Linked DNA regions of Arabidopsis thaliana. The protein of the gene in region 2 interacts with the protein of the main gene of each other region in a pairwise test. Each region holds a gene or a part of one and is shown on either strand. Other genes may lie near its edges. The genes, in order: AGL90, AGL97, AGL78 and AGL89.

Region 1 (3,439 bases), on a different chromosome or scaffold from region 2:
TAAATCCTAAGAACAAGCACAACCGACTAAACCCAAACATAACGAATAAAACACATGTTAAATCATATTTTCGTAGTGTGAAAAAGGCAAAATCTACAAACTATTCAGAAAAGGGCAAAATCCACAGATACCATCCCAAAAAATGGTAAATCCATAATTGATTCAAAGAATAATATTTCTTACTTCAAATTGCTGGGGAAAACAATTATTCTCTACGTATGGGTCCTAAAAGAATTCAAATGAAAACTTTCGTCTAAATATTGTACCAATCACACATTAAATTTTCGAAATAAATTCCACAGTTAAAGTTTCCCACAATAATCTTTTTTTTTTGGGCAAAACATTACTTAATAATCAAAATACATAATTAAGTTAAAAAGAGACCCTTTAACCATTACAACCATTATTAATAAACAACATTAGTTTTTGTCTTTCGAAATGAAGAAAACACAAATTCAAACAACTGAACACTTAGACTAGAAAATCTCCGTCTTTTGTGATTAGAGATTGTTGTTGATGTAAGGATCATAAACATCGGTGGTTGAAGGCATGTAACTGGTGGAAGCAAGATCAACGGCTGGTAGTTGATTGTAGTTGTAGTAGTTTCTGTCCACGAAAGGAATGCTTTCACGCCCTCCAACATGATTCATATGTTGTTCCACCATCGGATTCATGAATGATTGTTGTTGATTCAGATACTGATTTGAATTCAGATTCAAATTCAGATTCAAATTTATGTTGTAGAATTCTCGTTGAATCTGATTAAACAGATTATTAGGAGCCTGGTATTGAACCTGATTCATATTCTGATTTTGATAAAAATCACAAACGTTAGTAGGAACAAGGTGTTGAAACGGTTCATGCAGATTTTGACTCATATTCATATTTTCATATTGAATATGATCAGAAAATCGACTGGGAGCAGTTACCGCATTTGCGTCCGCATCAAGAAAAGGAGTCATATCGCCCGCAAGAACATGAGGATTGGTAGCATTAGGAGTATCTACAACCCTAGTTGTAGAATGAATAGGAGAGTCGGAAAACGACTCATCACCAATTTCGTCAACACCAATTCTAGTAGGAAAAGGAGAGACGGAAGACAACAACGACTCACCGTTTTCTTTAATGGACTCGATCCTTCCGTTAAGCTGATCGAGATATAGATTCATACAAGATAGCAAATCTTGAAGGTCTTTTGCATCATAACGATACTGGGACATTTTGCCTTCAACACAATCAAACATAAATCGTCTAACCTGTAATTCTCGGTTCTCAGCAGCCAAATTCTTTAGTTGCTCTTTTGCTTTGGTAATCCTCTCCATAAGATGGGTTTCTTGATCCATCATCTTCCTGGTTCGGGCTGTCCGCGGCATCTCCAGAAACTTTGAAGCTACCTTTTTAGCACCTTCCCTTGACGGCCATGACTCTGGAACCGGTATGAATGGACTATAGATGAGAGCACAAGCTTGGACACCACATAGAGTTGACAACTCGTGGAGTTTCTTGAATATCCCGTTTTTCCTCTTCATGAAGGATGTTTTCCTTGATCTTTCATTAGCTATCAAAGATAGCTTTACCTTCTTCATCCCCATCAATATGTTTTTTTGTTTTGTTTTGTGTGGTTTGTTTAATTTGTTTACTCAAAGAATGTTTATATAGCAAAGAAAGATGATTTTATAGTCACTAGGATTCTTATCACTTTGGTGGACTCATTAATTCTAAATAACATCCAGGAAATCTCTTATCAATTAATTGACCAGGTAATTCATTATTATCTATATAAAAATATTTTTTCTTATCTAAAGTTTGGCTCGTCTGATCCTAAATAATATCTGATGACAAAAAAAAGAAAAAAATCTATCCATGTAATATGAGGGGGCATGTAATATAATATTTTTATTTCTAAGTTTTGTTTATACTAAGAATTAATTTCTCTTACTCTCATTGTTTTTTTTTACTAAGAATAATTTCTAGCTTACTTTGTTCTTAGAATGTGAAGTTTTGTAATAGTTTTAAGTGATTGTACTTTTAAAATACAGTAATATATTGTCAATGTATATAGAATTGTGGTAAGCTAGAAATTACTCTAAAGTTTGTTATCTAAAGTAAATTTCAGAAAGTTTGTTATCTACAGTAATTTAAAGATGTACTTTGAATCATACAAATAAATTTTTAGAATGGGCAAACAATTTGAAAATATGCAAAGAACATCTCACATAAACGCCAAAAACTTTGAATAATTGTTATGAATGCCCTTTCAACACTATCCTTTTCAATAATGCATTTTCTTATTTGTTATTTTCATTTATACTTTCTCTTAATTTTTAATGACCATTTTACCCCTATTTAGAAAATGTTTTAAGTAAAAAATGAAATATTAATTTTTTCCCGCCAAAAATATTCTGAAAATAAATTTTCCGCCAAAAGTTTCCGGCCAAAAAATTTTAAAAAAAACTTTTCTGCCAAAAAGGTTTCTTAAAAACATTTTTTCCGCAAAAAAAAATTATAAAGGATTTTAAGAGATTTTTGAAATGAGATTTTAAAGGGTTTTAAAAGATTTACAAGGGATTTTAAAAGATTTTTAAAAAAGGTGTAAAAGAGTTTTAAAAGATTAGGGATTTTAAGAGATTTTTATAAAGTGTAAAAGGTTTTTAAAAGATTTACAAAAGATTTTAAAATATTTTTAAAGGGTTTTAAAAGATTTACAAGTGATTTTAAAACATTTTAAAAAGGTTTTAAAAGATTTACAAGGGTTTTTAAAAGATTAAAAAAGATTTTTAAAAGAATTTTAAAATATTTTTAAAGAATTTTAAAATGGTTTAAAAATTATTAAAGGGTTTACAAGAAATTGAAAAGATTTTTAATGGTTTACAAGGGTTTTAAAGGACTTACAAGGGTTTTTAAAATATTTTGTAAGAGGTTCATAAGAGTTTTAAAATGGTTCAAAATTTATTAAGGGGTTTTAAAAGATTTTTAAATTGTTTACAAGGGTTTTAAAGGATTTACAAGGGTTTTTAAAAGATTTACAAATGTTTTTAAAATCCTTTTAAATCCTTTAAAAATTCTTGTAAATCTTTTAAAATCATTGTAAAAGGTTTTAAAATGTAAAACAAAGGTTTTAAAATGGGTTTTTAAGTATTTACATATATATTTAAAAACTTTATAAAGATTTTAATAGGTTTTAAAATGATTCACAAGGGTTTTTAACAAATTTACAAAGCTTTTAAAACACTTTATAAGGATTTTTAAATGCATGTTTTTAGCTGGAAAAAAATTTGTTACAGAGAAAAAACTTTGGCGGGAAAAAAAACTTTTAGCGGGAAAATTTCAGTTTATAAATTACTTGTTCTCATTAGATGAGAGTAATTTGGTATTTTTGCTCAAGAGAATGAGTATTTTTAAAAATGGACTACATATAAGGATAAAATCAAGAGTTTAA
Region 2 (2,978 bases):
AAAATCAAAGACCGTGAAGCTCATATTAAACTTCGAAATGCATTAATTGAACACTTGTGGTCCGTATATACTAATTCTGAGAATTAGTACAATGTAATTTTTTTTTGTTATTTTCAATTTATCGATTGTAATCTTATATTAATTAAGTTAAAATAATTTAGTTATGAAATATGTTATGTATATCAAACTATTAAAAAAATAAAGAAAATCTTAAGTTTAATAATATTATAATAAAAAGTAATATTTTTAGTGTGAAATTGGTGTTATGGTTGGAGATGATAAAACAATTGAAACACCAAAATATCAAATTTGGTGTTAAAATTTGGTGTATTGTGGTTGGGGATGCTCTTATGTTTTGGTTAGATATACGAAAATATCACGCAGATCAAATAAAGTCATAAGCTGATAAAAGACATACAAAGATATACTAAACCGAAGCAATACTTAAATCAAGGATCCAATTTCAACATAAACACAAATTGTCACCATAGAGGCATGCATCAGACATCATCCATCTTTAAATTCATGGATAAAGCTTCAGAGCTTGTCAAATACTCAATGATTTGATCGAGATCATCAAAATCTTCATTGCACTCATCCAAGTTTCCAAGTAAACCGTTGTTGTTGCTATTGTCAGAAACCGCTAGGGTTTGCTCTTCCGTGTTCCCTTCAGAATTCACAGTTACATCATCCATCTCCAAATTCACCGATAAAAATTCAGAGTTTGTCACCGTATCGAAGATTTGATCGAGATCATCAAAATCTTCATTGCACTCATCCAAGTTTCCAAGTAAACCGTTGTTGTTACTATTGTCAGAAACCGCTAGGGTTTGCTCTTCCGTGTTAAACCCATCGAAATTCACAGTTACATAATCTTGAATGCAAACCCTTGCAGAACACGGCTGATGAATTAGGGTTTGCGTTTGATGATCTCTTTGCTTCTCCAACTCCTTGAGATCTCGCAACATAGTCGACATTGAATCCATCGCCTCTCTCAACTCCTCCAGATTCTCTGATTTTAGAAGACTCTCATCTTCCCACCAAAACCTTTCATCACAAGGACGCTGATTGGCGAGAAAAGCAGCGACGACATTATCAACAGAGGAGTGGCCAAAACTGTAGAAAGCGGCGTTGGAATTAGAAGAAACAGGAGTCGCTATGATCGCAATCTCTGCGTCCGAGAGAAGACAAAGTTCAGAAGCTTTGCTATACAGACCCTTACGACGTTTGGAGAATGAAACCGCTCGTGGATTTTTGTTCTGTATCTTCTCTATAGCAATCTTCCTCTTCACGCCACCCATTCTGTTTTTTTTCTCAGTTTCACAAACAAAAGAGAACGAGACAAGACTTGAGAGTTTTGTGTGCTGCCGCTTGTTGCGAAAGAAGAATATGATAATGGACTCACTCTCGTTCTAATCAGATAGATATATATATAGACTTAGTAGCCCTAACTCGTTTTCTAATTAATCCATGTTATTTCCTTTTTCTGATAATTGCTAATCAGTAATTAAACGACTAAATAAACTTGTTTTCCTTTTTTGAAAGTAATTAGTACACAAAACCACCTGAAACAACATCGATTTTGATTTCCTTTTTTACTGATAATACCCTAATCGGTAATTAAACGAAAAATTAAAACTGTTTCCTTTTCTAAAAGTAAATTACTCAAAACCATCTAATACAAACAAAGACCGGTTTAGTTAAACCGAATCTGTATTTAGTGGAATTTTTGGTTTAGTCGGTGAATTTGTTTACTACTGATTGTCTAATAAGCGAAGGAGGACGAGTAAACCAACATGCAAATTCTTCCTTTAACCGGTTTGGTCAACGGTCAATAAAATAAGACCGTTATGAAGGGTAAAAGCGTCAATACAACAAAATATTTAGGAGCCTCTCTTCTTCTCTTTGTGACCGTTACGAATCCAAAAACCAAAATTGCAAACTTTGTGAGGAAGAAGAAGACGACACAGTATTGAAGAATACAATCTCAAACCCTAGTATGGAATCTCTGTTTTATGCTGGTGAATCAATGTCCGATACACAACAAAAACTCAAGCTTTTGGTTGATAATGGTGAATTGGTGATTACGGATTCGGAAGAGGATCTAGATATGGAGATTACGAGAATCTGTTGGAATTGAGTATCCTAAACTAAATCCTACAAGAATAACAAGCTTGGTGAGAAGAAGAAGATGAAGAACAAAGGAAGAAGCAACGGAAGAAGAAGACGATGGCGGAGAAGAGACGTCGTGAAGAGAGGAGTCAAAGGAAGAGAAGAAAGTCAACAAACCAAATGGGTTTGTGTTTTGTGTGTTGGGTCATAGGTAATGAGATAAGGCCCATACGAATAAGTGTTTTGTACAAGTTGTCTAGTTAAGGTCCAACAAGAAGAGGTTGTGACAACTAAAGTAAACTAAGAGAGTGAATTAAGGTGTTGGAGTTCCAACATAGTAGAGTGGATGATGTAAGTCTTAGGACAATGATGTGGTCTAGAGTCTAAGTGTGTGTAGTCTACCAAGTGGAGCAAAACCACTATATGTATGTGTTGTTTGTGTTGTGTAAGAGTATCCAAGAATATTATCAAAGTAGAAGATTAAAAGAAAATAGTTTTTGTTCTTTCTCTCTAAAGACAATGAAACCGTAAAGGAGTGTGAGAAATAGAGAGATTGTGAGAATTACAACAGAATCAAAGATTCGTATGGAAGATTCTGAAAGAAGAACAAGTGAGATTTGGAAGAAGAAATCAGGGTTTTGCTGGAGAAGAATCTTGTATCAATTAGAAACATATAAGTACTGATTCTTCTGTGATCAAAACATGGCTACAGGTTTGTTGAAGACTTCTTCTGTGACATCCTCAGCATTGAAGACTTGTTTAAGAAACTTGATTTTTGAGAAGTTAAAAGGTAGAGACTTCTTGAAGAAACAAGCTCACAGCCATAAATATTCTGGCAAAATCCACATTGTTCATCTTTGTTATTA
Region 3 (3,413 bases), on a different chromosome or scaffold from region 2:
AATGTGATATCGACTTTCTTGATAAAACACAAGGGCTAGTTTAATTGCAGATATTCAATCAGCTCAATCTTTATCTTCTTCCTCATACCATTACTCAGAAACTACACAGAGATTCTTCTTCTGCAAAAAGTCTAGAGGCTTCACGAACTCAGATCCACTCTCCATCTCCTTGTATATATTAGTTGATTCAGACAAGAAGGATACTAAGTTGCAAGAATTAAGGTTTTAAGATTATAATTTGTTTCATGCAAGTTTTTGTGAAAGATTTTTTATGGAAGTTCATATATATATGTCAATACTAACTGAAAAAAGTATCAACTTAAAAGTAAAAACAAAATCTCCACAAATGGATTTGTTTTCTTAACAAAAAAAAAAAACAAATGGATTTGTTTTGCAGTTATAATGACACTATAAAATATTAAAAAAAACAGTAACAGAAGAAATCGGAAGCAGAAACAGCTTCAATCTCTCTCCGATCCGCTTGCTACTTAACTATTGACTGACTCTTAATGAAGCTTCAAAAAAACAAATTCTTTTGGACAGATTTTGTTATCAGAGAAGTCTTGAGTTGCCAGGAAAACAATAACTGCTAGGAATGTTGTGGAGAGGTGGCAGAGAAGATGTCTGTAGCAGACTGCTCGCATCATAGCTTGAAAACATGTCTTGAGAGAAGCTAATGTTACCGACCGCATTACCATAAGGGTTCTGGTTGAAATCAGAAGAGAATTCATGTGGAACCGTGTTTGAGAGATTAGGATGTTGTAGACCGTTGTTGTTGTTGATGATTTCACTCACCATACACATGTTCTGATCAAAACCATGAAGCTGATCCTGTTGCTGCATCAAGTGATTATTCAACCCGTAGTTATTCACTGCAGATGCTTGTACCGAAAGTAACGGTGAGTAGTCTTGTGTGTTTGACACGCCAGGATGTTCAAAGTTGTTGTTGGTGATGTTGTCCGAACACATGTTCTGACCAAAACCATGCTGCATCAAGTGATTCTGGTAATTGATGAGTTGATTGGAGTGTGGAGCAGACAGTGGGAGTTGTGAGAGAGTAGCATCTCCATGGTTGTACATAAACAGCGAGAACTTGCTAGGATTCAAGTGTTGGGTCTGGTTCAGATACGATGGTGTTAAACTCTGATGCACCAAGTTTGTGTTCTGTAGTTTCTGCGCCTCAACAATACGAAGCCTTTCTTGCAGAGTAGAAAGAGTCCGTTCTAAGGACTGAATCAATTGAGAGAGTTGTTGAGGAGAGTAATGATCAAAGTTTGGATACCAATTCTTCTTCAAATTCGTCTTCCCCTTGTCCTTGTCCTTCTCCTTCTCGAGGAACTCATGAAGATTGCGGCTCTTCTTGCGTTTTCTGGCCTCTTTATACCTCAAAGCCATGTCTTTCACTGTCTCTCTCTCCTTAGGCCATGTTCTCAGTTCACCGTCTGGTCCGTAATAGATGACGCAAACCTCAATAGCACAGAGAATCGAAAGCTCTTCAGCTTTCTTGAAGATGGTTTTAAGTCTATTTGTTAAACTTGTTGAATTACGTGACGAAGAAGAAGAAGAAGCTTGCTTCATCGTGACTTTGCCTTGATTCGGCAAGAAACTAGGGTTTTTTCCGAGAGAGAGAACACACGAAGAAGAAGTATTGTCGAATTGAGGGTGAAACATTGTGAACTCAATATGTTTATATAGATGCCTTGGTGCCTACGGGAACAAGCAAACGCGACGCGTCGTTGTTAATCGCGAGGCGTGAAGATCTACGCTCCTACGATTCGATTCGATTTCCAATATCTAATGTAGATTTCCTTAATTAATGTCTCGATGGTAGAGACCAAAAAAAAAGGAAACTTTTAATTAGTTTCTCGATGGTACTTTATTTTAGGCTGTACAAAATTAAGATCTAATTAAAAAAATACTATAGATTTGATTGTGTAATTATTAATTGTGCAACAAAAACTTGGAGGAAAAAGGAAAATCTGTCTCTAAGAAAAAAACTCTTAATTGTTAATTAAGGGTTTTCAAAAAATTGAAGAAAGATTTCAACTCATTTTATTTCTAGGTTTCTTCTATCTTTTTTTTTTTCTTTTTTTTTCAAATTTTTTTTTACGTTATAGTTGTTAATTAAGGGTTTTCAAAAATCTATAAATTGTTTCTCCAATCAGAATGTTGTGAAAAATAACTAACATAAAAACACTCTTCAAATAATTAAAACTAAATGTTCGAAGGGTATATATATACTCACTCTGTTTATTGCAAAATTACCACTGTAAACGCATCACAATTCATATTGTGGAAGATTAATTCTTGTTATATATGTATTAGCTAGTCAAGAAAATACACAATAATTGGGAATGTGGAAGTCGACAAATGTAGTAACCAGCTTGCCTTATTATAGACACAACAATATATATAATAGGGTACAATTAATGTCAGATTGATAACGACGATCCAATAGTGAACCACAAATCACGAATTTTCAACTCACAAATAGACTCGTTTCTTTGTTAGATGAAATGTACCAATCATATAAAACGACATTGTGATTGGCAATCACAAAGAAATATAAATTGTTTATGCCTCATTAAATATATTACTTGAATGGTAAAGTATTAAGATTTGTTTTGCGATCATGAAAGTTAACATTCTTATTTGTTGTGTATATCTCTGAACGTTCTTATTGGATTATGTTATGTGGGATCTGTTGCTGAAGTATCCCTTTAGATTCATTTCATAATCCAATTTTCTTTATTTGATAGTATATTTGATTGCAGTCAATAAATAAATAAACTCCCTATAGATTGTTTTCCATCAATTGTAAGAGTTTTTATTTCTATTTGTAACTGAGGTTTTGAGCAAAAAGTCCATGGTATAAAAAATACCCCTTAGTCAAACATGAGAGATTTCATGACGATATATAAAGCGTAAAATCGGGTAAAATATAAAGTTATAAACTAATTGTTGATCTTAGTATTAAGAATTTATTGCATTCGTTTCTTAATTTATTGCGTAAAATCGGGTTAAAATTAATCAAATGGTTGATCTCTTCAGAGCTAGGGCTTCATTTCTTACATAAACGTCGTGAAAATTTGATTATTAAAGTCCTCCAAAGATTAATAAATTAAAACAAACCAACAAGACCCCATTATAAATACACGCATAAACATTACTTTGTGTAAAAGATAACGTAGCCATTAACTTTTATGCATTAACTCCTTCATTTCTTTTTGTGCTCGTTTGGTTGAGAGAGAGAGAGGCTATATATGATGTTCCAACAAGATTACCCTCATGGCTTTTCACTCGTGGAAACATCCTTAAGTTACGAAATGTTGGATTACTTTCAAAACATCGTCGTTTCGAACTCTGAAGACGTGGCGTCACAGCAAAATTCCATTTCGTCCTCTTCTTATTCA
Region 4 (2,913 bases), on a different chromosome or scaffold from region 2:
TCCTCCGGATACACTTTACTTAAGCTTGTACAAACATGAATCAAAAGACCTATGATAAGCTAGGAGGCACGTGTGGTAGCTCAAACGGATTCGTTGAGGCTCGTGAATAAGCAAAGAGAAGCAGAGAAGGCACGTGAAAACAGAGCAAGAAGAAACAGATTGTTTAACCACTAGCTTGAGAGTCTAGTGAGTTGTATATAAATAGATAGAAGGTTATTGCACAAGTTATGCATGTATTGATGTGTGTGTAACAAACCATAGAGGAGAGTTAGGAGATCTCTTGAACAAATCTCCATTGTTAGGGCTTGGAAGAATTTTAATCGGAAAATCACAAGGCATTGTAATCTGGAAATTCACCATTGGCTTCTAAATCCAACAAAGCCAACTAATTGACTCAGACAAAAATTGAATTGAGAATAGCATTCATAATGATAATACTTAGGAAAAACATACAATTCAACACAAACTCTTAATCAGACAATTAAAACTCATAATCTAAACTAGAAACAGATCGAGTCAGGGACTTGATAGAAGCTTCCGCTGTCATGGTTATAGACAAAGACTGAATATTTGCTCTGATGGTTACTCAATGGTGACGTCGATAGGTCTTGCTCTGTGTTTGACACACCAGTCACCAATGGTTCTGTCCATTGTTGATGATGATGATCCTCAGGAGAAGACAATGGATTCGTTGTGGAAGAAACCGCACGGCTCTGACCTAGCTCGGTCTGGTTCTCGGGTTGGAGTAACAGAAGCTTATCTTGTAATACCCGTAGACCACTTTCTAGCGAATCCTTCATCTCTAAGACTTTCTCCGACAATTTATTGTCGTCGAGGATCTTTTTACGTAGAAACAGAGAAAGGTTTGTTCTTTTCTTGCGTCGCTCTCTCTCGTGTAGTTTGCTAAACCTCTCAGCCATGTCTCGAACCTTGGATTGATCTTCCGGCCATGTCTTGATGAGTTCTCCGTCACGACCATAATATATGACACAGACTTCGATGTCGCACAGAGTTGAAAGCTCCAAGGCTTTCTTAAACATGGTCTCTTCTCTCATAGACAAATTCGTGGTCTTTTTTGCAGTAGAAGAAGAAGAAAGAGACGATTTCTTGAAACAAGTTTGGTTTCTCACAGACAATTTGGTTTTCTTCTTCGTCGACATTGAAGAATCCATTGTTGTTGTTTACACGGTGAAAGAAAGAAGCTTTAGTTTCTTGCAAAGAGAAAATAAAGTCAGAGAATTGGGATTAGGGTTTATATTGAATTTGTTAAATTCGATTTCCATATTTATTTCATTTTTCTTCAGTAACTGTAATGAAAATCTTTTATTTATTTTTAACGGAAATCTGAATTAGATCCGATTTCCATTTTACTAATATCTAACCGTTGTACGTAATTGACAATTTCTATGTAATGAATTAAAGAAAGCAAAAAACCCTAAAATTGCCACAATCTTCCTTCACTATTCGCTATTCGCTCTCTGTCTCTCTGCTTTGAATCTACTTTACGTTTCCTTCTTCGCAGGTTTTATTTGTCTCTTTGTCATATTTCGTTTAGTCTTCTTCTAATCACAGTTATGATGAACACTTCTTCACATTTAAAGGCACAAGCTTCGTGTCCACTTGTAGAACACTTTCTCCGTCGGAAACTTTCCAAGGAAAACTTCGACAGATTCATACCGAATAGATCGGCCATGGATTTCGACTTTGCTAACTACGCTCTTACCCAAGGAAGAAAACGTAATGTCGATGAGGTAACTTCAGCATCAAGAAAAGCCTACATGACGCAATTGGCTGAGGCTATGAATCAGAATCGCACTCGGATTCTCGCTTTCAGAAACAAACCTAAAGCTCTGCTTTCTAGTAATCACTCTGATCCTCCTCACCAACAACCTATATCCGTAAAGCCTCGTAGATACATTCCTCAGAATAGTGAGAGAGTCTTGGATGCACCTGGAATTGCGGATGACTTCTACCTTAACTTGTTGGATTGGGGCAGTTCTAATGTCTTAGCCATTGCTTTGGGAGACACTGTTTACTTGTGGGATGCGTCTAGTGGTTCTACATATAAGCTTGTGACCATTGATGAAGAGGAGGGACCTGTCACAAGTATTAACTGGACGCAAGATGGTCTTGATCTGGCAATTGGTCTTGACAACAGTGAAGTCCAGCTTTGGGATTGTGTTTCCAATCGTCAAGTGAGAACACTGAGAGGTGGTCACGAGTCAAGAGTAGGATCATTGGCATGGAACAATCACATTCTAACAACTGGAGGAATGGATGGAAAGATCGTCAACAATGATGTGAGGATCAGATCATCTATTGTTGAAACTTACTTGGGTCACACAGAAGAGGTTTGTGGTCTTAAGTGGTCAGAATCTGGAAAAAAACTAGCAAGTGGTGGTAACGACAATGTAGTACACATTTGGGATCATCGTTCTGTCGCTTCCTCAAACCCAACTAGGCAATGGCTGCATAGGTTTGAGGAACATACAGCTGCAGTGAGAGCTCTTGCTTGGTGCCCTTTCCAAGCGAGTTTGCTTGCAACTGGTGGTGGTGTAGGTGATGGGAAGATTAAGTTCTGGAATACACACACTGGGGCTTGCTTGAATTCAGTAGAAACTGGCTCTCAAGTTTGTTCATTGTTATGGAGCAAAAGTGAAAGAGAGTTGCTTAGCTCACATGGGTTTACACAGAACCAGCTTACACTTTGGAAGTACCCATCTATGGTGAAAATGGCTGAACTCAATGGTCATACATCAAGAGTTCTTTTTATGGCACAGAGTCCGGATGGTTGTACCGTGGCTTCTGCAGCCGGTGACGAGACTCTCAGGCTTTGGAATGTTTTTGGAGAACCACCTAAGACCACCAAGAAAGCTGCTTCAAAAAAATATACGGATCCATTTGCTCATGTGA

The links.
Region 1: the proteins of AGL97 (region 2) and AGL90 interact in a two-hybrid assay, tested with the Arabidopsis thaliana proteins (one large-scale study listed by BioGRID).
Region 3: the proteins of AGL97 (region 2) and AGL78 interact in a two-hybrid assay, tested with the Arabidopsis thaliana proteins (one large-scale study listed by BioGRID).
Region 4: the proteins of AGL97 (region 2) and AGL89 interact in a two-hybrid assay, tested with the Arabidopsis thaliana proteins (one large-scale study listed by BioGRID).

The regions. Positions count from the first base shown.
Region 1 is NC_003076.8:9,991,185-9,994,623, forward strand, and holds AGL90 (AGAMOUS-like 90), read right to left. Parts: upstream 1,587-3,439; coding exon 930-1,586; intron 807-929; coding exon 501-806; downstream 1-500. UniProt on the Arabidopsis thaliana protein: Probable transcription factor.
Region 2 is NC_003070.9:17,231,635-17,234,612, forward strand, and holds AGL97 (AGAMOUS-like 97), read right to left. Parts: upstream 1,318-2,978; 5' UTR 1,302-1,317; coding exon 501-1,301; downstream 1-500. UniProt on the Arabidopsis thaliana protein: Putative transcription factor.
Region 3 is NC_003076.8:26,108,491-26,111,903, reverse strand, and holds AGL78 (AGAMOUS-like 78), read right to left. Parts: upstream 1,579-3,413; coding exon 553-1,578; 3' UTR 501-552; downstream 1-500. Other genes in the region: AT5G65320 (basic helix-loop-helix (bHLH) DNA-binding superfamily protein), read left to right, coding at 3,264-3,413.
Region 4 is NC_003076.8:9,734,910-9,737,822, reverse strand, and holds AGL89 (AGAMOUS-like 89), read right to left. Parts: upstream 1,299-2,913; 5' UTR 1,173-1,298; coding exon 501-1,172; downstream 1-500. Other genes in the region: CDC20.5 (cell division cycle 20.2, cofactor of APC complex-like protein), read left to right, coding at 1,575-2,913.